Linked DNA regions of Alligator mississippiensis. The protein of the gene in region 1 interacts with the protein of each later gene in a pairwise test. Links are inferred from orthologs where the notes say so. Each region holds a gene or a part of one and is shown on either strand. Other genes may lie near its edges.

What was found.
Region 2: the proteins of ZBTB9 (region 1) and EHHADH interact in binary tests that used the Homo sapiens proteins (3 or more experiments, as listed by UniProt). The two-hybrid records come from large-scale screens. The link is inferred for Alligator mississippiensis from reciprocal best matches to the Homo sapiens genes ZBTB9 and EHHADH.
Region 3: the proteins of ZBTB9 (region 1) and EIF4E2 interact in binary tests that used the Homo sapiens proteins (3 or more experiments, as listed by UniProt). The two-hybrid records come from large-scale screens. The link is inferred for Alligator mississippiensis from reciprocal best matches to the Homo sapiens genes ZBTB9 and EIF4E2.
Region 4: the proteins of ZBTB9 (region 1) and PIN4 interact in binary tests that used the Homo sapiens proteins (3 or more experiments, as listed by UniProt). The two-hybrid records come from large-scale screens. The link is inferred for Alligator mississippiensis from reciprocal best matches to the Homo sapiens genes ZBTB9 and PIN4.

What each region holds. Positions count from the first base shown.
Region 1 is NC_081834.1:64,913,389-64,920,872, forward strand, and holds ZBTB9 (zinc finger and BTB domain-containing protein 9), read left to right. Parts: upstream 1-4,951; coding exon 4,952-6,391; 3' UTR 6,392-6,697; downstream 6,698-7,484. Other genes in the region: SYNGAP1 (ras/Rap GTPase-activating protein SynGAP), read left to right, coding at 1,953-2,111. UniProt on the Homo sapiens protein: May be involved in transcriptional regulation.
Region 2 is NC_081830.1:29,982,953-29,990,390, reverse strand, and holds the start of EHHADH (peroxisomal bifunctional enzyme), read left to right. Parts: upstream 1-4,263; coding exon 4,264-4,378; intron 4,379-5,378; coding exon 5,379-5,513; intron 5,514-6,395; coding exon 6,396-6,571; intron 6,572-7,438. UniProt on the Homo sapiens protein: Peroxisomal trifunctional enzyme possessing 2-enoyl-CoA hydratase, 3-hydroxyacyl-CoA dehydrogenase, and delta 3, delta 2-enoyl-CoA isomerase activities. Catalyzes two of the four reactions of the long chain fatty acids peroxisomal beta-oxidation pathway.
Region 3 is NC_081830.1:84,413,215-84,421,460, forward strand, and holds the start of EIF4E2 (eukaryotic translation initiation factor 4E type 2), read left to right. Parts: upstream 1-5,169; 5' UTR 5,170-5,258; coding exon 5,259-5,278; intron 5,279-6,574; coding exon 6,575-6,689; intron 6,690-8,246. Other genes in the region: cytochrome P450 2J5, read left to right, coding at 975-1,162, 2,503-2,644, 3,638-3,816. UniProt on the Homo sapiens protein: Recognizes and binds the 7-methylguanosine-containing mRNA cap during an early step in the initiation. Acts as a repressor of translation initiation.
Region 4 is NC_081831.1:39,604,448-39,612,438, forward strand, and holds the start of PIN4 (peptidyl-prolyl cis-trans isomerase NIMA-interacting 4), read left to right. Parts: upstream 1-4,879; 5' UTR 4,880-5,004; coding exon 5,005-5,044; intron 5,045-5,121; coding exon 5,122-5,195; intron 5,196-6,078; coding exon 6,079-6,198; intron 6,199-7,991.

The DNA.
Region 1 (7,484 bases):
CCTCTGTCCCCCACCTCCACAGCGGGCTGCCCAGTGGGGGGGCCTCTTGTGCCTGGCCGCAGCTACCAGAGGCTCGGTTCCAAGCAGAGTGGGTCCTGGTTGAGTTCTCCACTGAGCGCATCAGCCTCTGGGTCGGGGACACCCCAGAGCTTGGGAGCAAGAAGAGAGCCACTCCCCTGGCCACTGGCCCGTTCTGACTTTGGACCTCTGACGGCTGTGTAGGGGTAAGCAGCACCGACTCTAGCCTTCCACGGGCCTAAGGATCTGGGACTGGGCTGCTTTTTCTTCTCCTCAGGGCAGGAAGCTCCCCTGCGTCGGCTGCCTCCCTTCTCACCCAGCACCCCATGGGCACCCTTGCTCGTGTCCCACCCAGTGCCCCCTGTTCTAGGGCAGAGCAGCTATGCAGTGGGCTCCTGGCTGTTGTGCCACATGCTGCTCCCCACCTCTTGAGCATCATGGCAGGGTGGGCCCCAGTGATGTGCTGGTCTGGGTGGAGGTACAGTCTGCAGCAGAAATGGGGTCGGGTGGGTCTGGCTGGGGTTTTCAGCAGTGCGGGGTGAGGGTAGGGGGAGCTGTCTCTCACCAGACAAGGGCAGTTAGTGTCATGCTGGTGCCTCCACTTGTCTCTCTCAGTGCTGGTTGCCCTGCATTCCCTGTGTCTTGTCCTCCTCCTGTCTTGTGTCTGTTCACACCGCATCTCACTGGAACCTGGAACTCTCCGCAGGCGGGAGGGCAGAGGGCAGGGGTGCAAGGGTGGGCTGGGGGAAGGGAGCAGTGCCGCCAGCCCAGGGGTCTGCTCCCCAGGGCAGCAGCTGGGAGGCAGAGGGAGGACATCCTTGTGCCTCTGCCCCCCTGACTTTTGGAGGTTCCTGGTTCCCTAAGGCTTGGTTGCTGGGGATGGGGTGTCTGTCTGTCTGTCTGGGGGGTGCAGGGTGCATGTCATGGGATGTGTGTGCGTGTCCCTGTCTGGTGTGACTGTTGGGGACAGGGTGGGGGTCGGCGGGCTGTGCGATTCCAGCAGTGGCAACACAGTCCCCTGTCCGGAGAGGGCACCCCTGGGGGGCCCCTTGGTGCTGGATGACTGGCGTGAGAGGTCAGTGCCCAGGCTGGGCAGGATGGGCCGAGGGCTGGGGGGCCGGGGCAGCTCTTAGTATCAGAGATGGCTGGGGGCCCTGGGTGGGGGAAGGGGACAGCATGGCTAGACCTCATCTGTGCCCCTACCCTACCCTGCCCAGGCAGACAACACCTGGCGCCGCAAGGCGGGGGAGAACCTGGGACCTCAGTGCAGATGGGCGAGCTGGTGTTGGCACCATGTGGCATCTCCCTCGCAGGGGTCTGGGTCTGCCCAACGTGGTGTGGTGCTCCCAGGCCACCTGGGCCGTGGGCTGCCGGAGCCACTCCTCCTGGGAGGGCTGGCATCTGTGACCTGTACGGGGCGTGCAAGGCCGAGGGCAGTGCAGGTTGGCCCCCCAGCCGTTAGGCCCACCCCCCGGTGCTTGCCACTGGCTGCTAACTCTCAAGTCCCTAGGTTCTGGCAGCGTGTGCTGAGCTGCGTGCATTTTGCCCTTGTCTCTGGGGCCAGGTGGGGAGCAGACCTTGCATCTCCTGGGTCCTCCGCTCCGCCCAGAGCCTGCAGTCCTCATGCCCACTGCTGGCATGAGGCACCGTTTCCTCAGGGCACAGGGCTTGCATGAGTTCCTGCTGAAGAGTCCTGCCAGGTGCCGCGCCTTGCTGTGTCCCCCCGGGGAGCAGGGCCCCAGCATTCCTCGTGGGCTGTGGGCCTGGCCTGCAGCGTGTCCCTGCGAGGCAAGGGGAGCCCGGCCATCCAGGACAGCCTGTGGCGGAGGGCCTCAGGCGCGGCCGGGGCCCAGTGCAGAGCGGGTGGGGGCGGCGTGGCCATGTCCCGTGTGCCGTTAATAAATAAGCCCGTGCTCTGCATGTCTGCGTTGCAGGAGAGGCAGCTTTCCGCCGTGGGTGCAGCAGACTCGCGTGTGAGCGGCGCCCTGGGGCCGCCCTGGAACGGGATGCTGCCCGCCCAGCCCCCGCCTCCGCCCCCGCGACTCCAGATCACGGAAAATGGAGAGTTCCGCAACACCGCTGCTGAGCACTAGCCACTGCCCCCGCGGGATGTGGCGCCGGGCCCCGCGCCGGGCGGACCCTCCCTGCCCGCCGCTGCCGCCCGCACGCCCGCCCGCGGCTCTGGGGGCGCAGCAGAGACCCTGGCCGGGACATGGCGCCCTCCCCCTCGGCCCCCGCATCGCAACCGAGCAAGCAAGCAAATAAACCCGCCCTCTTCTGGGGGGAGGGGCCCCCCACTCCTGCCCCCCTTTGCGCACCAGCCCCTGCCCTGCCCCTGCCCCTGCCCCAGCCCCCCATCACGCCGTCCCTCGGGGAACGGTGCGACTCTTCAAACACAACTTCAGGGTGTTTTATAGCAGGACACAGATGACAATCTTACATCCACCCCTCCCCACCACCTGCCCCGACGCTCTCCCCTTGGCCCCCCCACCCCTCGTCTATCTCAGGAGTGCCCCCTACCCCATGGCAGACTGTCCATTGAGTTGCCCCCTGGGGGCCCAGGTGTCTATGCCTTGGCCGGGGGCGAAACACCCCACCCACCCCACTGCCTCTGAGCTGCCTCATTGCTGGGGCATGGGGGAGTGTAGCGCCAGGCTGAGCCCCAGGGAGACTGCCTGGGGTGAAGCTGTGGGCTTTGGGGGGTTGTGAGACCTGCCAGGGGGGCCTGGCTGGCTCCGGCTCCCCTGGGCATGGGGCGGGAAGAGGGTCCTGATTCTGCCCCTGCCCCCCCAGCAATGGGGAGTGTGGGGACAGGTGCCCGTGGCTGGACCGAGGATCCTAGCACTGAGGCCCTGGGTCCTGTCCCTGCCCCTGCCCCAAGATTCCCCTGCAAACCTGCCCCCGCCCCTTCCCTGCAAGGCAGGGTGACCCCCGTCCCTGGGGAGCCTCCCCTCTTGCTGGGGGCAGTGCTGGGCTCTGCCCCCGGCTCGCCCTGCCACCCCTGCCCCGCCTGGCGCCGGTGTGGGGGGAGGAGGGTCTCCCACGCCGCCGCCTGCCCCAGCCCTGCTTTCTGTGCTCTCTACTCCGACAAAGGGCTTTGCCTGCTCAGCGCCCACCCGCCCGCGGCCTGGCCAGCGCCCCCGGCCCCCGGACACGGACACTGGGCTGTAGCTGCCTGGGGGAGACGGGGCACCACGGGAGGGGCTTTCTCGTTCTTTCTTTCTTTTCTTTCTCCGTTTCCTCCCGGTCTCGAGACGCCCCAGGCCCTGCCCCACGGGGCGAACGTGGGGGCAGGGGGGGAACGCGACCACCGACCAACCAACGGGAAATCTTGAAGAAGCCATTTCTCTGCCCACCCGCCAGCGCGGGCACGGGCCCTGGGTGGGGGTGGGGGTGGGGGGCGCCGGTCCTACCCCCTGGCCTGAGCACGGAGAACTGGAGGGGGCCTGTTGTGGCTGTTCGCCGTCGTGCTATGGTCCGACCTGCTGGGTGAATGTGTTCAGCGCAGTGATTGTACTGGGTGTTTCTTTGCTGTTTCTGTGTCTCTATTTCAGACTCCCGGCTAGGGCCACCCTCGCCCTTCACCGGCCCCCAGCCCCTCCTCCCTGTGGTCCATATTTCTTTTGTAAGGCCTCACGCCTGCCCTCCCTCCACCGCCCTCCCCCCCCCCCCCATCCCGGACGAGGGCGGCGCCGTGATATTTATACGTATTAATTATTATTATTATTAATGATTATTATTATTATATAAAAGTTTGTACATATGTGAAATTTTCTCGGCTCCCGCCCCTCCACCCGGCCGCGCTGCCCCTCTCCCCTGCCCGTCCCTGGGCTGGGTGCTGTAATTACCACCGGATTTGTACTGTACATAGACCTCTCTGGACCTCACTCTCTGTACATAGCCCGCCTGCCCCCCCCGCCCCGGGAAGGGAGCTCAGGTGTGAGCCCGGCGCCCGCTGGTGCCCCCGGGCCTCTCTCTTCTTTTCTTTTTATTATTCCGCCCCCCCGGCCCTTTTCTTTCTTTCTTTCTTTCTCTTTCTTTCTTTCCTTTTTTTTCTGGAGTGTGTGGTGACAACATCGGAAACAAATGAAAATGTTTAATAAAAAGCGATTGTTCTTTTACGCCGCCTCGGCCCCGGGGTGCTCGCGGCAAGGCCGGGCCGGGGGGGCGGCGGGGCGGGGCGGGGGCCCGTGCCGGGGGCGACTCACGCACATGTCCGCTGGGCCGCGCGGGGAGGGGGCGTGGCCAACCAAAACCCAGCTCGGCAAGAAGCTCGAGAGGCCCTGCGATTGGCTCCTTCTAGCCAATCAGGTCTCAGGTGCTGGGAGCTGGCGCCCCGCCCTCCGGCGGTGGCGGCGCTGGTTGGCTGGCGGGAGGAAATGGCTGTCCGCCGGGCTGGGCGCTGGTAAGCTTGTGGAGGGGGGGGTTAGTTTCTGGTTGGCCGCCTGCGGAGCGGCGGTGGCGGGCGCTCCCGAGAGAAGCCCGGCGCGTGGGATACATCGTGGTCGGTCGCGTAGGGCAGGGCAGGGCAGGGCGCCGGGGGCTGAGCCCTGCAGCAGCGGCGGCGGCACGGGCGGCTCCCGCGGTGGAAGCGGCCTGCCTGGGGCGCTTCTCGGGCTCGGCCCGCGCGGGGCAAGGCCGGGTGTTTCCTGGTGTTGAGTGCCGGTCGGCCCGCGGGGCGGGGCGGGGCGAAGCGGTGCCCGGGGTTGAGTGCCGGTCGGCCCGCCCGGAGGGGCGGGCGCTTCCCAGGGTTGGGTGCCGGTCGGCCCGCGCGCGCAAGGGAAGGAAGGGGCGGGGCGCTTCCCGGGGTGGGTGGGCTGCAGTGGGCCCGCGGGGGAAGGGGCTGGGCGGCGGAGCGGGTGCGGGCTCCGGTGGCAGCGCTGCCCGGCGTGCCGTGCCCGGCCCGGCCCGGCCCGGCCCGCCCGGCGGCGCGATGGAGGCGGCGGCGCGCAGCGTGCAGATCGAGTTCCCGCACTTCGCGGCCGCGCTGCTGGAGACGCTGAACAAGCACCGGCTCGAGGGCAAGTTCTGCGACATCGCGGTGCACGTGCAGGGCCGCGTGTTCCACGCGCACAAGAGCGTGCTGGCCGCCGCCTCGCCCTACTTCCACGACAAGCTGCTGCTGCAGGACACCAGCTGCCTGGCGCTGCCCAGCGTCATCGAGCCCGACGCCTTCGAGAACCTGCTGCAGCTCATCTACTCCGGCCGCCTCAAGCTGCTGGTGGAGGCGCTGCCCAGCCACCTGCTGGTGGCCAGCGGGCTGCAGATGTGGCAGGTGGTGGACCAGTGCTCTGCCATCCTCAAGGAGCTGGAGGGCGGCCCCTACCGGCCCTGGTCCAGCCGCGCCAGCGAGAGCCAGTCCCCCAGCAGCAGCAACTACTTTGCGGTGAAGGAGGACGGGGAGCTGGGAGGCGGCGGGGAGCGCGGCATGGCGGCTGTGGCCCGCGGGGTGCCGGGCTGCCCGGACGATGAGGTGATGAAGATCCGGGTGTCCCATGAGGAGGAGGAGGAGGAGGAGGAGGACAAGCACCCGGCCGGGATCTGCAGTGGGTCCCTGGACAAGTCCATGAAAATCGTGCTGAAGGATGATGAGGAGGTCGGGCTCGGCGTCTCCAAGGGCCCGGCCTCCGCTGAGCCGGACGGCCCCTTCCCCAGCCCTCGAGACCACCCCAAAATCTACTACATCAAGCAGGAGCGCTTCGACCCAGAGGAGGCTGCAGTGGCGGCGCTGGGTGGTGGGGCCGGGGCTGTGGGCGAAGCCTGCTTTCTCAAGTCGCTGGCACAGGGCCGGGCGCTGGGCATAGCCGAGGTGCACGGCCTCTACCAGGCCAGTCTGCCGCCAGGCAGCAGCAGCGAGGTCAGCTACATTATCCCGGCGGCAGGCAGCACTGCCACCAGCGCTATCGCCTCCTCCTCCTCCTCGCTGGCCGCCCCCGGCTTCACCATCAAGGCCCAGCCCCTGCCCTCGGACGAAGTCGGCTTCCCCCAAAGCTCCTGGAAGCCGGTGGACCTGCACGGCAACGAGATCATTGCGCACACGGTGCACGGGCAGGTGGTGCACGCGCCGGTCAAGATCGTGGCGGCGCCTGACGGGAAGAAGTTCGGCTGCCTGTGTGGGAAGCGCTTCGCCGTGAAGCCCAAGCGGGACCGGCACATCATGCTGACCTTCAGCCTGCGCCCCTTTGGCTGCTCCGTCTGCAACAAGAAGTTCAAGCTCAAGCACCACCTCACCGAGCACATGAAGACGCACGACGGGAACCTGTACTCCTGCGAGGACTGCGGGCGCAAGTTCCGTGTCCAGAACTGCTTCCTCAAGCACAAGGAGCTCTGCAAGGGGCAGGGCTGGGCCACTGCCTGCTGGACCTACAAGTAGACTGGGGCGGGCGGGGACAGCCCCGCGCCACATCCCGCCAGGCCGGGCCCTGCCTGACCGCTCTGCCCCCCATGCCTTTGGGTTCCCGGCCCCGTGGCCGGCGCCCTGGTGCTGGGGCACGTGGGAGCTGGCGATTTGGGCCCTGCGGCTTCAGTGCTGCGATGCTGGCCCCGGGAAGGAGGTGGTGCAGGGCGGTTGGGAAACACTAAGGGGGTAGCTGTGGGTGGGGGAGGGGGGAGCGTGTGCAGCCTTGTGCCAACCCGTTCTTGTATAAACAGTTGCAGCCCGGCGTGGGGCCGTCCGGGATCTGTCTGTCGGCCTCGTCTGTCCCCCGCGGGGGGAGGGGGCAGAGCGGCCTGGGGCCGGGGCCTGTGTTGCCCTCACGGCCTCCCCGGGGCAGCGGGGCGGGCTCGGCCGGGGGCTGCCCCGACCTGGGGGCGGGCTCGGGCGGCGCAGCCTGGTGGCTGTGACCTGCCACATGACCAACGTCCGTGCCCCTGGCCCTTGGCGTGCGTGACCTCCTGGGGGCGGGAGGTGGGTCGCGTGGCTACGCCCCCTGCCCCTTTGGCCGACACCGAGGCTGATTGGGCCGGCCGCGGAGGGCGGAGAGGGGTGCCGGCCAATCGCCCCGCAGCGGAAGCGGCCCTTCTTGCCAATCCGGGCGGCGGGGCCCGGGCAGGGAACGCGGCCGGGGGGCGTTGCCCTGCGTGGGCCAATGGCAGGTGAGCGGTGGGGGGCGCGAGCGGAGGGAGGCGCGCAGCCAATGGGCTGGGGGCGGCAGTGACGTAACGGGGGGAGCGAGGTTTGAAAGCGGCGCGCGCTCGGGCTGGGGGCGGGGCCGCGTCGCCCCGGCAACCGCCACCGCGGCCCCTCCTCGGGTCCTGCCTCGGCATCGCCTCGCGTTGCCGTGACAACCGCTGCGGGGGGGAGGGGAGGGATGCCGCCGGGCCCGGGCCCGGGCCCGGGCCCCGTGCGGGTGCGGCCCCGCGTGGCGCTGCGGCCCGACGCGCACGGCATCTACAGCCTGGGCGCGGGCCCCGCCGCCCGCCTGGCCGCCGGCTTCGGCAACGGCGCCGTGCAGGTGCGGGGCGGG
Region 2 (7,438 bases), on another chromosome or scaffold:
TATGGGGGGAGAGAGGGAGGAGTTGAAATTAAAAAGCATCTTATTTATTACAGTAGTGTCTAGAGATCAACTAGGTGTGGGGCCTTCCTGTGCCAGGCAGTGTGCAGGCACAAGTAGATGATCCTTGCTCCAGAGATCCTGCTGTTCAAGTAGACAGGCCCAGGGCAGGTGGAAAGGGTCAAACACACAAGCAAAGTCAGCAGCATGTCACACTAGCGTTGCAATTCTTGAAGGTTTTGGGATGGGGTTTTCTTGGAGGGAAATTAGCTACATGGAAAAATATGAGAAAGGAGAAGAGATACCAAAGGGCAACTAGGGAAGGGTGAAAATAAACCAATAGTCAGGACAGTTAAGGGAATACCTTCTTAAAGCTGTAGATGCTCTGATGGTGTCCAGAGATCCCTGTTTGAGCTGCTTCTGCTAGCATCAGTCTCTGGGTAGCTTCCCTTTGCCATCCCTTTCCTCAAGCCCTGTTCTATGTCCTAGCTGCAGGCCTGATTGAGAGGAGGGATGGCAGCATTAGCAGCAATACAGTGAAAGAAAGAGGCTTGGGAAGGAAGCCTATGAGTCCCAGAGGGTGGTGAGATGTTGAAATAGGGGGAGACTGGTGTGTGGAATGGGATGGTGGGAGGACAATGGGAAGAGCTGGGAGTCACCTGAGGCAAAGGGGAGGTAAAAAAGTCACATGCCATAAGAAGTGGCAGAAGTAGGCTGAAAAGAAACAGGACTGGGATGTGGCCCATCCCAAAATTTCCCCAGGGATAGGCAGAGTGAAGAGGGAGCATAGACTACCAGGAATATATGGAAACTCTGGGCCAGCGGGAGCCAACCTTTGTGGCAGACAGATTAAACCCCACGCCTTCCCTGAGTTCCACTCTGACCCCCTTCACCTGCTGCTCTGCTTTCTGCTCCCTGCCCTGTGCCCCCAGCCCAAACTGTTGCTCTACCACATGCCACACAGCAAACGGCCTAGGTCACTTGTGGCACACGTACCACAGATCAGTCTTCCCTGCTCTAGGCCTTCCTGTCAGCCTTTCCAGCTGAGCCACAGCATCTCTTGCCTCTTGAGCCCCTTCTCATTAATTTTATGATTTTTCCTTCCCTTTTCTTCCTTTGCTTTCTGGAGGACTTCAGTCTCTCTTACTGGTATTCCGGGCATGAGGACTCTTGCCCTTGGTTTCATGCTCTCTCCCAGTTCACAAAAACTTGGGTACTCAGGACAGTTTCCTAAGCCCTGCTTCTTTCCCAGGATTTCCTGGGCCATCTGCTCCCTGCTCACTTTATTTCCTCATGTGTCTCACCCTCTCTGTGTCCGTTCATTTAATGCAACTTTTCATTTTCATTGAATGTGGATGACAATGTGGGGGTGTCTTTCCCCCTTGATTTTTTTTCCTCCCTTCTTTTCTGAACATCTACATTTACCCCAATACAAGACGACCCTGAATTTAAGATGACCCCTCCCAACAATTACATTCTATACTTGAAAAATGTATAAATTTGTCATTATTTTCCATGTATAGAACCTAATTATTGGATGGTCATTCTAAATTAGTCCTCTCACCCCATCTCCCCACCGCTGCAGGGTGGCAGGCAGTGAGGGGGAGCAGGTAATGTGAGGAGGTCAAGCATTTTGCCCCCTGCTGCTTACTCCCCCTTCCCCTCCCTCCCACAGCTTCTGCTCTCCCCCCTGTGCCTCCCTTGCCTTTGCCCTGATGCCAGCAGGCTCCATCTCAGCTCCAGCTTGGGGCACAGAGCATGCCCCAGCTCAGCCCTGTAGGAGCTTTGCCAGCTCAGTACTGCTGCTACAGCAGTGGGCAGGGATCTTGCTCTATGCCCCAGGCTGGAGTGGGGACTGAGCCTCCTGGTGCTGGGGCAAGGATAAAGTGGTGGGGTGGGGAGGCAGGGAGAGAGACTGCGGAGGGGATGCGGGGGAAAGGGGCTGCAGTGGGGAGATGGCGGGGTGCAGAGGCAGCAGGGGACAGGCAGCAGCTGCTTACCCCTCCCACTGCCTCATACTTGATTCCAAGATGAAGGGCTCTCCGCAATTAAATGGGGGAAAAAAACCTCGTCTTGTAGTTGAGTAAATATAGTACTTCTCATTTCCCCTGGATGCAGAAACTCTTCTTTCTCCATGCCCTTCTTTGCCCCCATTCCTCTTCTGACAGCTTGAGTCATCAGTTTTTCTTCTGCTGCCCAAGTTTGCTGCTGCTGTTTGAAGCTGGTCAGCTAAGGATGGCTCGGGTGGGTATCCAGTGTACAAGAGCACACTGCTCACTCCCCTTTTACTACAACTCTACTTCAGCTTCCCCATGCATCTCTCCCTCTGCACCAGCTCCCTGGTACCAGCCTTCTCTTCTGGCCTGATTAAAGCTCACTTCATGTGACAGGGCCCCTTATATTGTGAAACACTGCTGTTATTTGGGATGGTTTTCTTTCCTTATCTGCTATATCCACCTTTCCTCTTCCTGCCACTTTCTCTACCCAGTCTCCAGATCCCTAATGAGGTGTCTTATTGCCCTGGCATGATAGTTAATTTGTTCTCTCAACTGCACATTCTCAGTTCATTTCCTCTCTCCCGTCAGCTGTTTCCCCATTGTCATAGCCTTCAGTCTGCATTTCTCTTCTCTGGGGTCATGGCCCTTTCTCCTGTAAGAAGTCTGTTCTTTCCCTTATTTCTTAAACATAAAATAAATGCGACAGCATCTCTCCCATTTTGGGCCAGAAACTTCCCTGTTTCTTCCAATTCTTATCTTGGAATACACTACAATCTCATTGTAATAAATCTTGATTGTTAATAAGCCACTGTTTTTTAATAATACCAATTCTTTTTTCTTTTCTTTTTTCCCACATTTTTATGGTGTAGCCAACTAACTAACCCTGCTGTAGCAAGCACCCTCTTTTAAAGATTTTTTTCTCCTGGCCCTGTGGTGGTTCATTATAAGGAGGTTGTACTGTATGCTGGTCCTCCCTTCCTTCATTTCATATACCTTTCATTGTGGCCTTTGATCAAGAAAGCTAGCCCCAACAGCCCATATTCAGGTCCACTTTGATGCTTTGAGGTAGCATTTGGACAGCTCACGTAGTTTTTTGAGCTACTTCCATGGATTTTAGGTGTGTAACTTGTAGAAAGGAGAAGGGGACACCCCACCTTTAGTCTATTGTTATGGCGCTTGCCCAGGAAGCAGGAGACCCCTTGCTCCAAGGGGGTTTGAACCTGCATCTCCCACTTCCCAGCTGAGTGCTCCAACCCCCTATGCATTGCCAAACACACTCTCCAGCCTCACTTCTGAAGCTGGCCCACTGGGCAACCAGAAGGACAATAAATGGAGGGAATGTGGCTCAGTGAGAAGGGCAGTACCCTAGAAAGGAGAAGGTGGTGGAGTCTGGTTTGTGCTCCTGGTCTTCCTTCGCCAATGGTGACTCAACTACACTTTTTATTTGATAGCCATTAGATGGACAGTAGTGGGATTGCTGTCTCTTGCCCCACTGGAGGCAGAGCCCTGTCCATCTAGGGTGGGATCCATTTCAGTGAGCTTTGTTCACACCCCCCCTGGCCCCACATATCTTACCTTTTTGGCTGCTGTGACAGGGGGCATGACAGGACCGGGTCTCATGTTGGCCTCCTACCTGTGCCCTGTCTTACCTGCCATGACTTGATATTCTCTGATTTAACAAGCGGGAGGCTGCCCATTTACTGCCCCAATGCCAGGGGTGCTATCCATGGCTCCATGCCTTCCCTATACTGTGGCCCATGCCTTGCAGATGGCATCTAGTTTGCTATTACAGCTCTGGCCTGAGATAGGGTCAGACTCAGTCCACTGTTGGGCCTCTTGCACACTACCCTATTTGGGGTCACACGCATACCTCCCGCCTCTCACTGGGGCCTCTTCCACTCTGCCTTTTCTGACCAGGCGTCTTGCACGCTGTCCTTCGCTGGGCCACACTCACTCTGCCCTACTCCTTTGAGCAGCCATCAGGCTTGCCTACTCTCACCTTGGCTGGCTGGCATACAGCCTCTTGGGTCTTCCGTGACCCTCATCCAGACAGTGACCAGCCAATTAACTGAACACTGAGCTGACTCTGCCCCCAGCCCCTCACTGGGCAACGTTCACAATATATTCACATGCTTATGGGGGTTGGCCCATGTGCTGCCCTTCTGGCTGTCCTTCAGCCCTACTCAACACACCCCCTGGTGCAGCCCTTCAGACTGGCCTTCAGTCCTACTCTACACCTTCCTTACGCGCAGTCCTTCAGGTCGTAAAGATGCCCCTACTCTGTGGGCCACACCTGCTCTATTACCCCCACTCTGGGGCTACTCTCCTGCCCACCCTCTCTGGGCCAACTCCCACCCCCTCCCTGGCGCCTCCAGTGCGCAAAGGTATGCCTGGTCCCTGTGCCTGGCCCTAAATCAAGGTATGCCATCAGGATGTGGGGGCTGGGGTTTTAAGGAGCCCCTCCCTGCCTTTTACCGGGGATGCAACTGGCCTGGCATTTCTGGGGAGCTTCCCCACCACGAGAAGCCCCACCAGGCCATCCTTTCCCAGCAGGGTACAGTTTCAAGTCATACCCAGGACCAGGAGCCTCCCAGATGCCTGAACATGAACATTAAATTTCTACGAGTGGTGGCAGCTCAAAGCCTGATAATTATCTAGATCATACCATGGGTGTGAACTGTTGGCTTAAACTCCCCTCAGGGTTTTGAAATATTTTCCTTATCTTGTCAAGGGTTTGGTATTCATTTTTATAAACTACTTGGGACCATTTCTGTTTTTGAGTGCAAGCATTTAAGTTGGAAAGTAATTTAATTGCCTTGGAAAAAAAAGGTCTTTCCCATATTGCATGTTGGGCTGGCTTGCTTACTTGCTTCCATAGAAATAAATGTGTTACAAGGCATTTCAGCAAATGGGTGATGGTCTAATACTGCCCCCACCCGGTCCCTATGTGGCAGGATTGGGCCCCATGCCACCCTGCATGCCGAGTCTAGCATCCAGGGTCACAGCCCATGGAACTCCCCACAAGATCTGTAGGGAGCTGTATGGACTGGATTACACAGCACTGAGGGCTGGATCTGGCCCTCAGGCTGAGAGCTGAGCACCCCATATCTAACAAGCATTGTTGGCACTGTAGCTTTGGGTGTGACCTTAACAACCAGTACATGCCCTTGAGCTCAGTGTGACTCTCTGTGGGTGCACGGATTCACTTGGGCAGTTTTCTATGGAAGATGTGGCTGGTGTGGGTTGAATAAGATATCCAGCATAGCTTTGCTGGTCTACAGAAGCTTACTGGGACTCGGTGCTCCCTTCTACCATGCTGCTGTGCCTGGCCTGCTATTAATATTTATGAGAAATGTGAACTCTCTGATTCATAGCGTGGGTAAGTATCAGTCAATGAGTCTCTGATTTATTTTAGCTCTGCAGTCGTCCAGGCTTTAGCACAAGGAGTGAAGAAAGCAGACTCAGACCCTTCTGTGAAAGCTGTTGTGATTTGTGGGGCAAATGGGAAATTTTCTGCAGGTAAGGCATTTTTCTTCAGGTAGGTATGGATGGAGAGTTCCTGTTTATTCTTTGCCCCTTTGAAGACTCTGGAAGCTTTTCCCTTTAACTGATGGGATCAAGATTTGACCCACAGAGAAGCAGTCTGTGGGTCATATGACTTTACTGGTAAATGGTAGAAGCTGCAGTGCACACCTGCATGCACCCACTGAGTCACTACTTTGATGTCCCATGGAAGTCCTGTTACAGTCACTACAGGTATCCTGGTGACAAATTCTGCAGTTCTTCAGAATAGCAGCAGGGTCTGGGGTATTTCGATGCTTGTATTATTCTAGCCATTCACCATCTACAGGAACCTGATGTATCTTTAATGTGGTGTTTCTCAGAAATTGACCATATAGGATCCTTTTTCACCTCCTTACCCATGGTTCACGCTCCCAATGGGTGACACTAAATATAAGACGTATTTTCCTTTGTATTTGTAAACAGGGGCAAAGGACGGAGCCCATTGCAATGAGCCCATTGCTTGGGAATTACAGTAGTGTCGTGACATTGATTTGTGATTACTGCACACACTTATAGTTATTTAGCCTATACCCCAAAAGACAGAAAAGGCTAATAATAGGTTTTGTCACATAGGGTCCTGGACACTGTGCAGGGGTTTGATTAGTTTTACCTTTCTTCACCATCTTTGACCTGCTTGACAAGCCTGGGAATCAGGATTGCTGTCTTGCAAGTTCAGGTCTGACTTGGACTCCATGGTATTTCAGCTGGGTTGAGTTGCCTAGAAGGAAGGGGCGTGATAGGCAATCCTTTCCCTGCTGTGTTTTTTTTTTTGTGTGTGTGTGGGTTTTTTTGTTGGTTTTTTTTTTTTACAGTCTAAGTTCCTCTGTGTTTCATCAGGTGCTGATATTCGAATGTTCTCCTCCCTCCCGCCAAGAGACAGACCTGCTTTGGCAGAAACAGTCTCTCTGATAGAGAGAAGTCAGAAGCCAGTGGTGGCTGCCATTGAAGGCGTGGCTTTGGGAGGAGGCTTGGAAGTAGCACTGGGCTGTCATTACAGGATTGCACATGCACAGGTAGGATGTGATGGTAACAACAGAGTTCAGCAATGGGCCACAGGTACGCAAGGTCAGGTTCTGTACAGGGGTGCACGGAGTACAACAGGGTGATCTCTCACCTTGAGGTTTTCGCAGGAGCCACAGTAAGGCCAGAGGAGAGGCTCTCATCTTACTGCCTCATCTGCATGCCTAGGACTTCACAGTATTTGTTCAGACACCCCCATTCTTCACCTGCTTTTCCACCACTTCCCTGTATGGCTCACTTGCAGCTCACTCTAGGTCAGTGCTGAGAGCTGCCTGAGTGCTCATCCCATGATTTTCCTGCCCTGAGGCACAGCTGACATGGGCTCCCTGCTGCACTCTATTTCCGGGCGTTCAGGATCAAGGCTGATGCATGCTAAGCAGTGTTGGTGCTGTTGTAGTACTACACTGTTATTTTTAGATCTGCACAGTTGGAGACAGCCTGTTCCTGGAGGGGCATTCACTAGCTTCTGCTGAGTTACCAGGACACAGCCCTGGAGCAATACTTCCATGTGAAAATGCTTGTCTGTTAACGTGCTGACTTTAAACCAATCATTAAACACTTCAGCCTTCCCTTAAGAATGGCATTAATGGTTTTTGGGCATTTTGTCATTTTAATGAGGTCACTGGGTCACCAATTAATTAACCCCTCCCTCTAGCCTTGTTGTATCTCAGCAGAACACTGTCTTTTCCATCACACTATTGGGATTAGTGGGGAAATAGCAAAATTTCTAACCAATAATCCAGGCAGATTTTGGTACACTACTGGTGATGTGGACAATGACATCAATAGCTTAGGCAACCTTAACGTTTCAGTTCAAAAGGACCTTTTCTAGATGCTGTTAGCTCTTGCGTATTTCTGTG
Region 3 (8,246 bases), on another chromosome or scaffold:
CAAAGTTATAGATATTTCATTCATTCCCCGTGATACCCTATGGCCGAATCTCCAAATCTTTTCTGAATCAATTAGGAAGCTCCGAATCGATTCGGAAAGCCTACGCTTCCTGCGATTCAATTCAGATTAATAGATTTGGCCTTCGAATCATCTCCGAATCCAAATCATGATCCAAAGCTTTGCACAGCCCTAATGACAACACTGTTCACATTATTGATGGCTAGAAAATTACATTTAGAGGTTTGGTTTTAGAAATTGATTTGTAGGTTATATATGCATTAGAACAATAGTCAAGTGCGGCTGCAAGGGTTAATTAACTTTTAAAGGCCCGATCACACAGTAACACAGTTCTCACAGCCTTTAAGGCAGACAGGGTGTCAAGACAACAAGGTCAATGGCTAGACATAGCCTGGGAAATTGTGGGCATATATGACACTGTTCCATAACATGAGATAAGGTGGCACCAGCTCACAAGGCCTGAGGGTGGGGGCCCTGAGAGTTCTGGTTTTGGGGGAACAGACAAAATTAGGAGGACATTGGAAAAGCCCAAATTAGGATGCGTGCATGTGATGGGCCTGTGAAACAAAGGAATAACCTGACAGGACAGAACGTAGACAGTATGATGATCACAGAGACCAATCAGTGATAGCCACGGATGAAGAGTCATCAGGAGGGAAAAAAATAAAAAAGCAGAAACTTTAGAGCAACAAAGGGTCCCCATCCCTGACAGGGGAACCCAGGGCAAGTTGACAGAGGGAATATGACCAGCCCATCTCATCCACCCCACTGGGGAGAATGCAGGGAAGGGGCCTTGGCCTCCAGCCTCCTGAGCATAATAAGGGACAAAGTTGTATGTATGAACTAGGAATTAATCTGATTTAATCCTGCAATTTACAGTGACTTATTTTGAGAAGCCAGAGTCCATGCTTTGACCAATTTCTTAAATTTTGGTTTCTGACAATTTCTCCCTGCAGAACGAGTCCAAAAAGAACTGGACACTACTATTAGCTCATCTCGTGAAATTCGATATGAGGACCGAATGATCCTACCCTACACAAATGCAGTTTTACATGAAGTTCTGCGGTATAGCAGCATAAGTGCAATAGGGGTTATACGAAAGTGTGCCAAGGATACAACTGTGCAGGGCTTTCCAGTTAGTAAGGTATGCTAAGTATATTACCACACTTCAGAGGTGTTCTCTGGGCAAAATTTGAAACAGTAATAACTCCCACTTACCTTTTTAAACAATAGATGTTTTTTCTGTGTTTTGTGCAGGAATGGTTTACAAGTAAGGTTGAACAATTTGTAAAAAAAACTCTTTATTAAAAATAGGTATTGGATAGGTTGCAGGATAGGTTGTGGACCTCAGTAAGTAAAGGTTAACTCCTGCACAACTTTACCTTTCTTCTGCCTTCAACCTCTAGCCCGCAGGCAGCCCACAAAGCTGTCATACAGCTCACAAGGCTCCCCACAGGTCTGAAAATTTGGCAGCAGAAGAATGGTGGCAGAGTTAATTGCCACTCTTCTCCCAAATTTCCAGACCCACCTCAAATTCTGTAGGTCAGATAACATGGTCTTGCATGCGATAGATCACTACAGTACACAGTCAGATCAAGGTACACAGGGTTGGGCTGGTACATGGCAAGATCCAGGTGCACAGGGTCGGGTTGGGCCAGCACTTAGACAAGTTAGGGCACGTGAGGTCAGGCCGACACTCGGCCAGATCGGGCCACGCGGGGGCGGGCCAGCACTCGGCCAGATCGGGGCACGCGGGGGCGGGCCAGCACTCGGCCAGATTGGGGCACGCGGGGGCGAGCCAGCATCTGGCCAGATTGGGGCACATGAGGTCAGGCTGGCACCTGGCCAGATTGGGACACCCAGTATTGGGCTAGCGTGCTTAGATCGCACATATAGATCAATCCCACACAGGAGCCAAGCCACAGACCAACCCTGTGCCACTCAACTCACCCATGGAGCTAAAATGTTGGGCACTATTGAAACCAAAGGCAAAAATACATAAGTTAAATGGAAAAAGGCACATATTCTAGAATAAAAGGAATTTTACCAATAGAAATATATTCCTTAAATTTATTCCTTACCTTATACCTTCCCAAGCAGATGAGACTTTACAGATAGCTCCTTGGGAGACAGCGAGGAAGATGTCTTTGAGGTCATGCTCCACTGATCGCAACTTTAGAATTGGGTTCCACACTCAGTCTGGGGTGTTTATTTTTCCAGAATTAAACATTCTAATTTTTGGCTGTATATTATCGTCCTCAGACTGTTTGGAATCAATCTTAAGACCTTGCTGCTGAAGTAATTGTTTTAATGAACTATTCTGTAGTATGTGTCAGAGGGTGAACATGTAAGAATTAGCTTGTTCTTGCATTAGGCACTTTTAAAGGGATATGACAGACTGCATTGGGAAGCCATAGGAGGTCCAAGGATGTTTCTGCTGGGAATATTTTTTTTATTTTCTTAAGGAGTTGTCTTTCTTTCTAGGGCACTTTAATTTATCCCAACTTATTTTCTGTTCTGTATGATCCTGACCATTGGGAGACCCCTCAAGAGTTCAACCCAAGTCACTTCCTGGACAAAGGTGGAAACTTTTTGAACAAAGAAGCCTTTTTGCCATTTTCAGCAGGTAACATTAATCCCATTACACCCAGTGTAGCAGGGTACTTGCTCCACAGACTGATATCTATTTAGCCTTTCATCCGATCTTATTTTATAAAACCCAGTAAAGTCTTGAGCTCAGAAAACAAACGTATTATCTCCAACGGCGGATAATTTCTTTCTTTCTTGAAGAAACTAAGACTAACTGCTCTTTGAAGCTTCTTAGCAAATTTATCTGGAATTGTGGTAGCAAAATGTGTTTCCTTGTGGCAGCACTGAATTCTGACAGATACTGAGTGTATTCATATCAATCACATTTAAATGGAGAGCAAGCAAGTAATCAGCAGGATTTAAAAACAGACTGGATATTGAACACGAGAGCAACAAATATCCATGGTAATTTAAGGAAAAATGGTTTTGGAAGGAATGTAAAAACTTACTTTTCAGAGAATAATAGTCCCATCTAGGGGTAGCTACAGCCAATCAACGTATTTTTAGAAGTGTAGAAACTCAGGTTACATTATTAGTAGCTTCTAAACGTAACCTATTTTCCTAGCGTAGGCATGACTTCTAAGACGGGGAACACTGACTTGATCCCATTTGGCAGAGGAGATGGGCGGTCCAGTTGTTAGAGTGCTAAACTAAGACACCAGGGTTCCCCAGTCTACCATAGACTTCCTCTGTGATTGCGGGCAAGTCACTAAGCTTCTCTGTGCCTCAGTTTCCCTCCTGTAAAATGGAAAAATAGCACAGCCTTGTAGTGGTGTTGCAAGAATGAATATGGGAGACAAAACAATGACAGAAGACAAACAGGTGAAATGTATTCTTGTTTTTTTAAACTTTCTGTGATCAGTGCCTCTGGTGCTCCCTACATCTATACAGTATCAAGCCATACTGAGACATTAAACATTGTCATTTATTTCCAATGAATTGTATCCTTCCTCAACTTGGGGGCAGAGGCATAATTCCACTTGCAAGGGTTATTAGATATGTGTGATAAATTCTCCTCTTCACCCTGCAGGACACCGTGTCTGTCTGGGGGAACAGCTGGCAAAAACAAGTCTCTTTATCATGTTCTCCAGTCTGCTGAGAGCATTCACCTTTCGGCTGCCGGAAGGAGTGAAGGAAATCAACAAGAAGCCTATCGTAGGGTTCATTCTGCAGCCCCAACCCTATAAAATGTGTGCTGTTCCTCGTTAAGTTTCTGTCTTCCCAGACACCTGCTGGGAAGTGGTTTTCGGATTCTCGAATGGCATCCTTGGCATTTGGAAACCACTGCTTTGCAAACCCTTTGTCTCTTAACACATTACAGTTGTTGTCTGACCAACAATCCTTGTGCTGAGTCCCTAAAATTCCTTTCAGCGAGCTAACAAACCATGCCTGCTTGTCACACGGATCTCAACATCAAGCCAAAGAGCCACCCCGTCCTTGTGGTGCACGGCACAGCTGCTCGGCTGGAGGGTGGCATGAGCTGGTCCAGAACTACTATTTCCCTAGTAGAGAGAAAAAGAATACAAGCAACCGGGGGCAAATCCGAGGGGTGGGGATGGCTTGCATCGGTGCAGACCAATATGGCTATCAACATAGGCGACTGGTACCTCCAGCCGGGGGGGTTCCTCCAGTTGCCGATCGCCGAGCCAGCGGCGAAACCGGAAGCGTGCTTCCAATTTGCGGCTGGCGCTTCCAGGGAGCACACAGCCAATCCCAGAGGGTGCATGTGCACGCACGTGTACCCCTACACATCGCCAATGGCTACCAAATACACCCCTGGTAGTGCCTGCAGCATTTCTAACCCAGCAGCGACAGAGTCCATATCATTTATGGCTCGTTATAATCTAGACGATCCCTTTTAAACCCTGCCTTCCAGAGGCAATAATAACCCCGTCTTTCTTCACGGTCGTGATGTTCCACCAATCAAACGGTCCTTCCTTCTCCCAATGCCACGGCCTGTTTGCCGCTCCTGGTAGCCAAGCTCCTCTTTCACGGCCCTACACCTCGCTTCTAACTCGGTCCAGTGAAGCCGTACGTGGTTTTTGCTGCGATCGTCGCCTGCGTGGTGCAGCCTGGCGTATCAGTCAAAGCTTCCGGCTGCGTGTTGTTTTCAGAGGGGATGAGGCACCCTGCTCCCCACAACCCCCTTTTCAAAATCTTCCGTCCGCCCAGGCGAGCAGTTGTTAGCCGTGGCTGGTTTTCATTCCCAGGCCGCAGCGCCTCACAACTAAGGCAGGAACCTGCTCCCTCAGAGCACGAACATGAAGCCACGAGCACCCACACGACCGTTGGGGCCACCCCGTTTTGGCGGGAAGGCAGCGGCGCCCTCCAACGGCCGCTCGCGACATCACACGCAGCCCCCCCCAACATGGCGGCTCCCGCGGTGGGTCTGCCACACTCAAAATGGCGCCTGGCAGGGCTCTCCCACACTCAATATGGCTGCCGGGAGGGAAGGTGCCACACTCAAGATGGCGGACGAGCCGCTTTGACATTCCCTCACTATGTGCTCGGCGACTATTGCGTCCCCCCCGGAAACTTGCACCCCGGCGGAAAGGTTCCGCTTCCGGAAGTGGCGCGCGGGCGGGTGACGGGGGCGGCCCCGCAGGAGCGGAAGGACCTGAGGCCGAGGCAGGCGGAGGCGGCGAGCGAGGATGAACAACAAATTTGACGCGTGAGTCGCGCCCCCCCGCCTCGGCTCCGTCCTCGTCCCCCGCCCCCCCGGGGGGAGCCGCGGCCGTTGGTCCGGAGGGGGCGGGGCGCGATGTGTGACGCGCGCGTGGGGGAGGGGGAGGCTTGGGGGGACCTTCCTGGGCCTCAGTGTGGAGGCTGCTCAGACCCAGCCCCTGATTGGCCTTTAGAAACGGGGGCTGAGCCCCCCCCCACCCCCCTCCTTGGTGATTGCATTCACTGCTTGGGACAAATTAACACCTAATGGACCAGGGGGGAGGAGGGGTGGTGGGCGAGCGAGTCCAATGAGCCGCCCCGTGCAACCCTGCCTGCAGGTGTGCGCAGCGGAGGGGCAGGAAAGCAGCCCCGCCGGCCCCGGGGCCTGAGCCCCGTCCTCGCGAGATGATTCGGAGCCTGCAGGAGGCCGGCCGAGGGGTCCCGGGGTTTGGGACGTGGCGGGACGGACGTACGGTCTGACCCGGCACATGGCACTTCTCACCTGCGTCTGATTTTTGGGCTTAAATGGGAATCGACGGGGTAACGTGCCTCGGCTTAAATAGTTATCGGTGGAGTCATATACCTCGTCTTAAATAGGAATCGACGGGGTGATATACCTCGTCTTAAATAGGAATTATGGGGTAATATACCCTGTCTTAAATAATAATCTATGGGGTAATATACTCCGTTTTAAATAATAATCTATGGGGTAATGTACCTCGTCTTAAATAGTAATTATGGGGTAATATACCGTGTCTTAAATAGGAATCTGCGGAGTAATATACCTCATCTTAAATAGTAATTATGGGGTAATATACCTTGTCATAAATAATCTGTGGTGTAGTATACCTCGTCTTAAATAATAATCTATGGGGTAATATACCTTGTCTTAAATAGGAATCTAGGGGGTGATATACCTCGTCTTAAATAGTAATTATGGGGTAATATACCTCATCTTAAATAATAATCTATGGGGTAGTAGACCTCGTCTTTAATAGGAATCTATGGGGTACTATACCTTGTCTTAAATAGTAATTACAGAGTAATAGACCTCGTCTTAAATAGGAATCTACGGGGTAACGTACCCATTATTGGTACAGCTAAGTATTGGATAACAAATGATGCCTGGGCGTTGTATCGGCCACGGGACCTGTGACGGGTGCGGGGCTCATAACGCACCTCCCTGCACGAGTCTCTGTCGGGCTCCCAGCTTCTCTCTGTGTCATGGGGTGCGCGTTGGGTGGCCACATTTTTGCTCCTGCGCAACTTAAGGCTCTCTCTCCTCCCACCTCACGTTCATCAGTTTGAAAGATGACGACAGTGGGGACCATGACCAGAACGAAGAGAACAGCACACAGAAAGACGGTGAGAAGGAAAAGAACGACCGGGACAAGCCCCAGGGCAGCACCAAGAGGAAGGTGAGTGCTGTGCGCTCCACTGCTGTCGTCAAGGCACGGTTGGAGATGCTGGACTTGACGGGGCTTGATCAGTCCAGTAGCTCTGCTGTAAGGAAGATGCATGTCGGCATGTTGTTATTTTGCTTGCTGCTCTGTCAGTGTGGTACTAACAAACTAGGGCTAATGAGCGTACAGTATAATAAGCTGAGCTCGAGTACCCTGTTCACCGGTGCAATTAGAAATCTTCACCCAGTGAGTTGAACTTGTGGAAACAAAAAGCAAAGCTTGACTTGCTTCAGGCAAATCTCAAGAAGTATTTGCAGATGGGAGCTTGCTCTTGGTTTCGAATGGCGGTTCTCAAGCAGGGTACTGTAGCATGCTGGGTGCCATGCAGCCCTTTTAAGGGTGCCCTGAAGTGCTGTGCAATGCTAGTACTGTTAAGTGTGCAAACACCTAGATGCTATTTGCAAGATAAAACCAGACACTTCAAACAGAAACCCAGAGTTTCATAATCTTTCTGCTCTGTTGTGGTCTTTGTGAGCTTTTTGACAAAAAATAATTGCTCTGGTATGTTTTTGTAGTAAAAAAAATGAGTGAGAGCTTAGGAACCAGTGTTTTCAAAGGGGGCCTGGAGTCTAACACAAGGCTGCATCGAGGTTGAAAACTGCTGGTTTAGAAGATCAAGTTTTGTGCTGTTGTTTAAATAGTCTGTCCTTGAAGGGTGATTACAAGCAGATACAGCATGGTTCAGTCAGGTTTGGGAAACCACCTCCTCTCCTTTAATCTTGCGCTCATTAAAACTTGCTCTCTAATTAGTGTAACATCTTTGCATGATCAGCTTGGACCTTTTCCTTCTCCCTTGCATGATGGAACCTCTGTCAGGTTGGTGATTCTAGTGTAACATCTGTTTCTTGGCGACTGCATTAATGTACGCTGGAAGCCTTTTATATAGGCAGTGGCTGTTCCTGGCACTCCCTCTGTCTTTATCTGCCTGCGTGCTGACAGTGCTCTGAGAAAGCTAAATGACTGAACCCTGCCACTGGAATTGTGGTGGAGTATTTCACTTGATTTGGGGTTTAGTTCACTTTAGATGCTTTTTCTTTTCCCAAAAGAGAAGAATAGACTACTCTGTGAGAAGCTCCCGTTCTCTTCTTTGTTTTGCATTCCATGGCCTGTGACAGCCTTGACCGCTGCAACTGTCCTGGCAGCCCAGGGTTAAAGGGAGCCGCTCCAGAATTTATTAATGCCCTTCCTAAATTTGCCTGAGGGGTTGCTATCGGGTGACATTCTTCCTGGGGCTGGGGCTGCTGCCCCTTAGCACTTTCCCTTCCTGCTCGAAGAGCGAAAGTACTCTGGATTTCTAATAACCTCTTTGAAATACAGCCGATCACTGCTGAAGTAATGATCTGTGTCAAGCTATTAACCAGGATGGGATTTTTCTAGGAAAATGAGGCTAAACTGTTCCTTTTATGCTCTGTGGTGGCAGGACCACGTGCCTTTCTAATGCCATGCATATAGCTTTCTCGGTCTCTTCTCCAGAGTAATTTGTGAGGATAAATGAGGTTCTCTGTTCTGCAG
Region 4 (7,991 bases), on another chromosome or scaffold:
TAACTATTGCAAGCTTGGTAAATTCTAATAACTGTCAGACCTCCTGGCTGCATGTGTCCTGGTTCTTCCCCAGAGCTGTGCAAAACTTCTGTCTTTGACTGCAAATATGTCAGAGGGAAAGTGTGAACAAGTTGGTGGGGGGGAAGGGTGCTCAGATATTCTAAACACAGTGGAAATATTTGGAAGGTGACTTGAGTATAACATTACATCACAGGTTTATCAGGTATGTTCACATGAATTTTAAACTGCACCCTGGTTATGGAAGGTAGGGGCACAGTTATAATGAGCACAGCTACGTGCTCTCACATAGCACATTCCAGCCATAGGCCTCATGGTGCTTTGTAGAGCTGTCCAACACTATTTTCAGAGTACCTGAGGGATAGCAAGGTGCCATAACATGTCCAAGAGCAGAAAATGACTATTCCGTCTTTGCCCTACAGCAGGAGTCAGCAACCCCCGGCACGCATGCCAACCATGGCACACAAGGCCATTTCGCTCGGCACATCACTGCCAGCCTGGGCTCTAGGCAGCTGCTGCAAGCCACGGAGCCTGAGCTGCTCCCAGCACACAGTTGGGAGGCTGCAAGCAGCCCAGGCACCATGGCTGTGTCTCTCTCTGACCTACCCACCCCAGGGAAGACTCGCCCAGTCACACTGCCTGTTTGGCCTGCCAGGCACGAAGGCTGAACCAGAGCCTGGGCTGGCTGCAGTCGGAAGGCTACAAACAGCTGCTGCCTCCCAGCCCCAGCTGCCTCCCAGCCCTGGGCTCGGGGGAGGCATCAGGTACCAGTGATGCTCCCCGCCACGCTGCCCTCCCCCACCACCTCTGCAGAGAAGTGTGTGGAACTCAGCATGGCACAGCACAGCACAGTGGTGAGGCGCACAAAAGCTGCCTGCCACTCCAAGCTCCCCGCTGCCCTGGCCACACTTCCCCTGCAGGCAGGGGCAGGAGTGAGGGGCACAACCCTGCACGGCTGCCTGCGCTGCCTCCGTGCATACAGGGGAAGTGTGGCCAGGGCAGTAGCAGGCAGCTTCCCTGTGCAGGCCCTCTGTGTGCTGCTGCTCCAGGTCGCACACGCATTTATGATTATTAACTATACTTATATACAGTGCATCCTGCCATGTACCCCCTGCCCTTGTTTTTCTGGCATGCCAGCACTCCGGTACCTTCCAAGGTAGACATGGTTTTTTCGACACTCCAGCCAAAAAACATTGCCTACCCAGCCCTACAGTCTGTTATGGAGAAGCACCATAAAATACTGGCTTTGCTCTCCAGCTCATGGTGGGGAGCATTCACCTACCCAGACATACTTACTGTCCTGTTTGAGCATGTCTGCCATAAGATGGCAGCTCAAGGTTCCATAACACTGGCACTCAAACGGTTCCTTCTCAAGTTACGTCTTACTCTTTAAATCCAAAAGCAGGGTGCCCAAGGAGGAAGAAGTAAAAGACTCAATTAAGGCAGCCTCCTCTGGGACCACCTACAGAATGTGTCCTGCTGCTTCTGGGTCCAGGGGACAAGCACTCGCTGGTGGGAGCAGATGGTCCCAAGGACCTGGGATAATGACCAATGAGCAGCTGCCTTGCTTGAGCACTGTTGTGCGCTGGCCCTGTCGCTTCAAATTCAAGCCATCAGCATGAAAGCAGCCATAAGCATAGAGAAGTGAGTGATAATTGCCATCTGGAAACTGGCATCTGCAGTAGCCTCCAGTCTGTCACCAACCACTTCAGCACAGGCAAGTCCATGACTGGATTACCTGTCCATAAGGTGTGCTGTTCCATTCAGAAGATGCAGGTGCCATGATTCCTCTGCCTCTCTCACCTACAGAAGATCTTGGCTGGATCTAAACATAAGGGCTTTCTGAACTGCATTGGGACCATCGATAGAACGCACATTCCCATTCTGTGCCCAGTGTACTATATATAGGCCAGAGTACAAGTAAAAGGGGTATGTCTCCCCTACTGAAAGGCATCATGGACCAGTGAGGATAGCTCATATCTGTTACCACTGGGTCGTCAGGCAAGATCACAATGCCAGGGGCTTCAGGAACTCCAGCCTGGTGCCCCTGATGACAGAGGAAGTGTTTCCCCATGGTGTTCCCAGGATACAGCTAGAAAGTGACTATTTCTCCCTGCTACTCAAGGACCTGACCTACTTGCCCCTCCTGTGGCTCATGAAGCACTACATCAGACACTGGCATGAATGGGCACATGCCCCCAGCAGCTGGGGGGGCACAGTGGTGGCAGGAGCATGGCAGCGGGGGCAGCAGTAAGCGGGGGAGCTCCCACAGACACCACCAGCGCTGGGGCGGGAGGCATCAGCCGGTGGGAATCACAGACCACCCCCTACACATCGCCCCTTGACACTGGTGATGAAAACCCCCTCCAGCTACTGACTGAGCATCTGCCAGACAACTATGAAGTGCCCCTTTGGGGGCCACAAAGCACAGCAGAGGGTCCTGGGGTTGCACTTGGATACAAGCAAGTGCTTCCTGAAGGCCTGGTTACTAGAGGTCTAAAGGTTTGGTGGTTGCTACTAGACCCGAGACTGAACCTCTGAGGCACCACCACTTTCAGGACAGGCTTTGTGAGGGTAGTTCTGGCAAACTACTTCTAACAGTGCCTGGTGATGGGGTGGAAGGGCAGGGCTTGTAAAGTCCAACCAATGTAAAGGACAGCTTGTTTGTCTGAAAAAAAAGTGGATGAGAATTAAGCTCACACTGTTATCATGGGGGGGAAGGGGGGAGGGGAACAGGAATGGGATCTCAAGGGCTGAGTGGCAAGACTGCATCTTCCCACACTGCAGAGGGATTGAAGGGGCTTGAGTCCCCTCCCTCTTACTGTTTGAACTGCAAGGTTGAGGGGAGCTATTCTTGATCTCACATCCCTCGGCCTCTGAGAATGACTGTGTCCCAGAGCTCCCACTCATGCTGGAGCAGAGGCTCTAGGGCCTTACAGATGGGAAGGTTGGGACTGTGCTCAATGTGGCATGGCTGGGATCACAGTAGGAAGGTTTGGGCATAGGAAGGGGGGGTCTGGGACTGGAAGACATTTCTGAAGGACGCTTTTCCAAGACTAGAGAAAATGGCTCTGCCCCACAGCCTTGCTTCCTGGACAGGCCCGGTGAGTTCCAGGGGCACTGCAGCCAGAAAGGGGAGGCCTTTCAATGTCAGAGCAAGGCTGTATGAGGTCTCCCCTGAGAAGGTTCCAGTATGCTGCCCCAGGAAACTGGGTGAAAGCTCTGCTTAGCCCTGCTGGCCTGTGGAATGACAAGTTCATGTGTCCCATGCGGAGTGTCTCCTCAACTCCTGACTGCTCCAAAGACAGCTCATTATTTGCCTGCCCCAGTACCTGGACACACCCATGCAAGCTCTCTCCTGAAGTCTGCCCTCAGCTGCTCTCTGAAAATCATCCTATGTGGCCCCTACTCAGACCTAGGACTAAAGACTGGATGTTTGCACCCTGCCCCCCTGGTACCATTAGTGGAGCTCCAGAAACCCTCCTGTCTGTCCTGCTCAAGCTACAGCCTACACAAATTCTCACACGTTCACAACGTAATAGTCAGGGACTGAAAGCCTGAGGGGACAGCACAGATGTTAACTGTGCTGATTCATTACTGGCCTCTCTTGTATCAGCCTCCAGCTGTCTGCAGAATCAGTGAAGGGTGGGGAGGGGACAACATCTGCAATCCTGTGGAGACGCTGTTTGGCTTGCTTGCCTTTTTGTGATTTCTTTCAGAGTTTTAGCTTTGTGAAGCAGACTGAAGATAACCTAACATGAGCTAGGTAGCATGGCTACAAGTTTCCCCCCACCTTAAGGTAATATAACCTTGAGATACTCAAAGGACACTCAGCACCAGTTAACAAGCTTTAACATGCAGATGCTTGCATTTTAAGTGCTATTAGTAATGATCCAAGCATAACATGCAGCTTCCCCCTGAAGTTAGATTAGGGGTGCTCAACCTCCAGCCTGAGCCAAATGTGGCCTGTGAAGGCTTGGCATCCAGCCCATTGTTCTCCCCACAGGTGGAGTAATTTGGCAGGAGGGGAACAGTGGCAGCTACTATTGTCACCCCTCCCTGCTGCCAATTTCCCAAGGATTGGAGCTGGGCCATACCCCTCCACCCACAGGGCCAGATCATCAGGGCTGGGCCACAGCCCCTTCTCCCTGTCCCACTACAGGGCCAGGTTGACCTGTGCCAAATCCCTTCTCACTGCACAGCCAGATTGGGGACAGGCTGCCCTGAGCCCTGCGTAGCTGGAGGGGGCCCCGCTCTGCCCACCCTGGGAACTGGATCAGGACTTCTGGTCCGACCCAGCCCACGCACTGACCGGGCACTGCCTGTCTGGCCTGCCAGGCACGAAGGTTGAACGCCACTCGCTTAGACGTCAGGGAAAGCTTCCTTTGAGAGCGGCAACCCCGGGAAGTTACTGACCCGCCCTCGGGTCGATACCGCAGGGGCCGCTGGTGGGCTTCGGCCAGGGGAGGCCTGGGAGCAGCGGCGCGGCTCGGCCGGGGCCCCGGGGCCCTGCCCGCGCACGCTGCGGGCCGCCCCGCCCAAGCCCCGCTCTCAAGGGCTGCGCCAAGGCGGCGCGCGAGCTGCTCTGTGCCGCAGCGAGCGGCGCGGCCGCATGACGCGACGCGACGGGCCGGGCCGGGCCGGGCCGGGCCGAGGCGGCGGAGACGCTCCCGCCGCCAAAGCAGCTCTGGCGCTCTCGCACGAGGGCGGACGCGGAGGAGCCGCGGGCGGGACCAACCCCCGCGAGGCGAGGCGAGGCGAGGCGCTACAAGCGCCGGCCGAGCCGTGACTTAGGGCCCAGGCAGGCGGGGCCTGTGCGCGCGGCTGCGCGGGGCGGGACGAGGTGTCCAAGCGTTGCCTGACAGGCTGCGCCGGCCCGTCAGGCGCCAGCCGGGCAGCCTGGTCCCGCTGCTGGTGGGCGGCGGGGCTTGAGCGGGTCCGCCGCGGTGCAGTGACGTCTGAAGGAAGCGGCCGCTGGCTCCGAAGATGCCCCCGAAGGGGAAAGGCAGCAGCAAGGCGGGAAAGGGTGCGTGCGTGCGGGCGGGCGGGCGAGCGAGCGGGGGGTGCAGGCCGCCTGCTCACGCTCCTGTGGTGTCTCTGCAGGAGGTGCCTGTGGCGGCGGCGGCGGTGCGGAGCAGAAGGCGCAGGGCCCGAAGGGCGGCGGCAGCGCCGTGAAGGTGAGTCCCGGGGCAGGCGGTGCCTCGGGCGGTACTGGGAGTCCCGCGTCTCGGCCTGGCCCAGGCCTCTTGGGCCTCGGCGGCAGGAGGGAGCTGCTCCCCAGAGCCCCGCGCCTATCCCGCTCCCTCCCGCCAAGGGCCCGGCGGCCTGTGCGGGGGAGGCGGCCCTTCTGGCAGCCCAGCGGGGCCTCACCAAGATAACACCCCCCCCCCCCCCCCCCCCAGCTTGGCTTCACAGCGAGCCCTGCGGGCTCGACCCCAGGGTGCATGAGGTACCACTGCAGAGGGGCAGGGCCCATGGTACAGCTGTGCACAGGGGCCATTGAGTTGCCTGGACCTGCGATGTTCACTGCTTCCCTAGCGTTCATTTGCACTGCTTGGCAAAATGATCGTTCAGATGCAGCTGCAATCGGCCGCACCGCGCAACAGTGAACTCAGAGGGGAGCTGATAAATGGCCTGTCTGCAGGGCTTCTGCCTGAGGGAACAGTGGTGGTATCACAAGTCTACTACCAAGGGCTTATGGTAAATCTCAAGTACAGCCGCTAACCACAGCATGTGTCTGTGAGTTGTGCTGTTAGACTTGTTACCTGAAGGGATGACGGGCTATTTCATAGACTTCTAGACAAGTCAGACTGGAAGGGACCTTCAGAGGTCATTTAGTCCAACCCCCTGCCAGACGCAGAATCAGCCAGGCTGTAGCAGCCAGAGCAGACTGTGGAGAAGAGACCATTGCTTTGCTCTGCATTGGCTCTTCTGTGGGATGGCAATAGAAGCTGCAAGCCTTTACAGGATCTGAAAGCTGCTGCCATCGTAAAAGGAGCAAAAGGAAATAAGACTATCTCTGCCCCCCAATGTAATTTTCCTCTTGTTTTTGTATTTTAGGTCAGGCACATCCTGTGTGAAAAGCACAGCAAAATTATGGATGCCATGGAGAAGCTGAAGTCTGGAGTGCGTTTCAGTGATGTAGCTTCACAATTCAGTGAAGATAAAGCAAGACAGGGGGTATATATTGACAGCACTCTTGGGTTGCCTGCCTAATAATGGAGAGACATCAAGGTTTAGTGCAGGGGTTCTCAGTCAGGGTGCTGTGAGACCTTTTCAAGGGTGCTGCACCACTGCAGTCTGGTGCGAGTGCCATGGGAGTCTGTTTGCATGAAATGCTGTGCAGGGCTGGACTGAGAAACAGCAGTGGCAGGAGGGCATGTTAGTGAAGCCCAGCCTGTCTGAAGGTCCCAGTGACATAACAGAGGAATAGGAGGGCACAAGCCCCAGGTGCTGAGTAAGTGGAGGTGCCTCCCAGGTCCCCTCTGGCTACTTGTGCCCAGGGTCAGCATTTCCCAAACCTGGTAGATACAGGCTCCTACCTTCTGTTTGCTCCATGCAGCTCACTAACCATTGCTGTTGTCTAAGGGAATCTAGCAAGGGTAAGCAATAACTGCAGTAGGGGCTGTAAAAGTAATACTGGGCACAGATCAGGAGCTGAGGAGGCAGCAGGCAGCTTGGATGTTGTTGGGGGGGCTTGAAAAGAAAGGCATAAAGCAGGGCAGAGAAGAACATGCTGGAGCCAAGTGTACCACAGCTGGTAGAGGGGGACCCATGGGGGGAGTTAGATGCACAGTAGGTTTGAGAAACTGTCCCAGGGCACAAGCCCTACTAGTGAGGTCTCTGGAAAGTCAGACAGCATACAATGCAGTAAGTATTACCTCTTCTGGGCTCAACTGAGCAAAGTAGTGCTGCTCCAGACTGGGTGTTGGGCTCCAACCTTCTCCCAGGGTGCTGTGGGCTGCCTGGTAGGCAAGGACCATTGGAAAGCAGAGTTTGGACACCTCCAGAGCAGCAAGCACTGGCTGAGACCACATGAACCCCATTTCCTTGCTTGCTGAGCTCTGCCAGAGCTGCCTCCACCTCACCTGTGCCATCTTCCCATCACTTAAGAATCCCATGGTACCCTCAAGGTCAAATCTTGAGCCCCCAGGCAGGTCTGGGGAAGGAGGTACCTACTGCCTTCTGTTCTTGCAGTGTGTTAGGGCAGGGGCTGTCTCTCTCCATGTCTATAGCTGACATAATAGATACCAGATATATATATGCAAGCATTTTACACACTGTAATAAATACATTTCTTTTTTGAAATGAGGTGCCACTAAATGCAGAACAGTTACAGAGGCAGCTTTCAGTCTAAAAAGGTTGAGAACTTTGCCATTGATGTTGGGGCTGTGTTTTGGGAGAGCTTGCTATAGAAGACCTGTTGCTGTTGGGAATGAAGTATTCCTTAAGAGCGCTTGGAAAGGACCATTATGCATTCAAATGATGTGCAACTCTGCTCTGGAACTAACAATCTCCATTGCAAGAGGGCAGCTGCTGTCAAAGGAGCAGTTGTGTACTGTTAGAGGGGAAGGGAAGGTGATAATTGATTTACACCCAGTTCTCTCTTGATATGAAAAATAGGGTAAGATAGTTTCCCTAGCATAGTAGGGGGGCCAACCTTTTTGGCAGGCTAATCCAAGCTAAACTAAGCCCCACCCCCAAGTGCCTTTCCCTTGTCTGATTTGTTACCTTGCTTTCTGTTCCTCTTCTGCCATGTTCCTTGCTCCCTCCCTGGTCTGTTATGTCCTGCACAAAGGCTGTCCATACCACTTGTGGCACACATGGCACAGGTTAGCCACACCTGCCCCAGCACATCCTCCCCGTATTTCATTCACTTTGCTGCAGTGATGAACAGCAGCTGAGTTTGAAGTTGCAAACACTAAACAGAAGGGCCTGTCTGAAGAAGTGGAGGGAGAGAAGGATACCTGCTG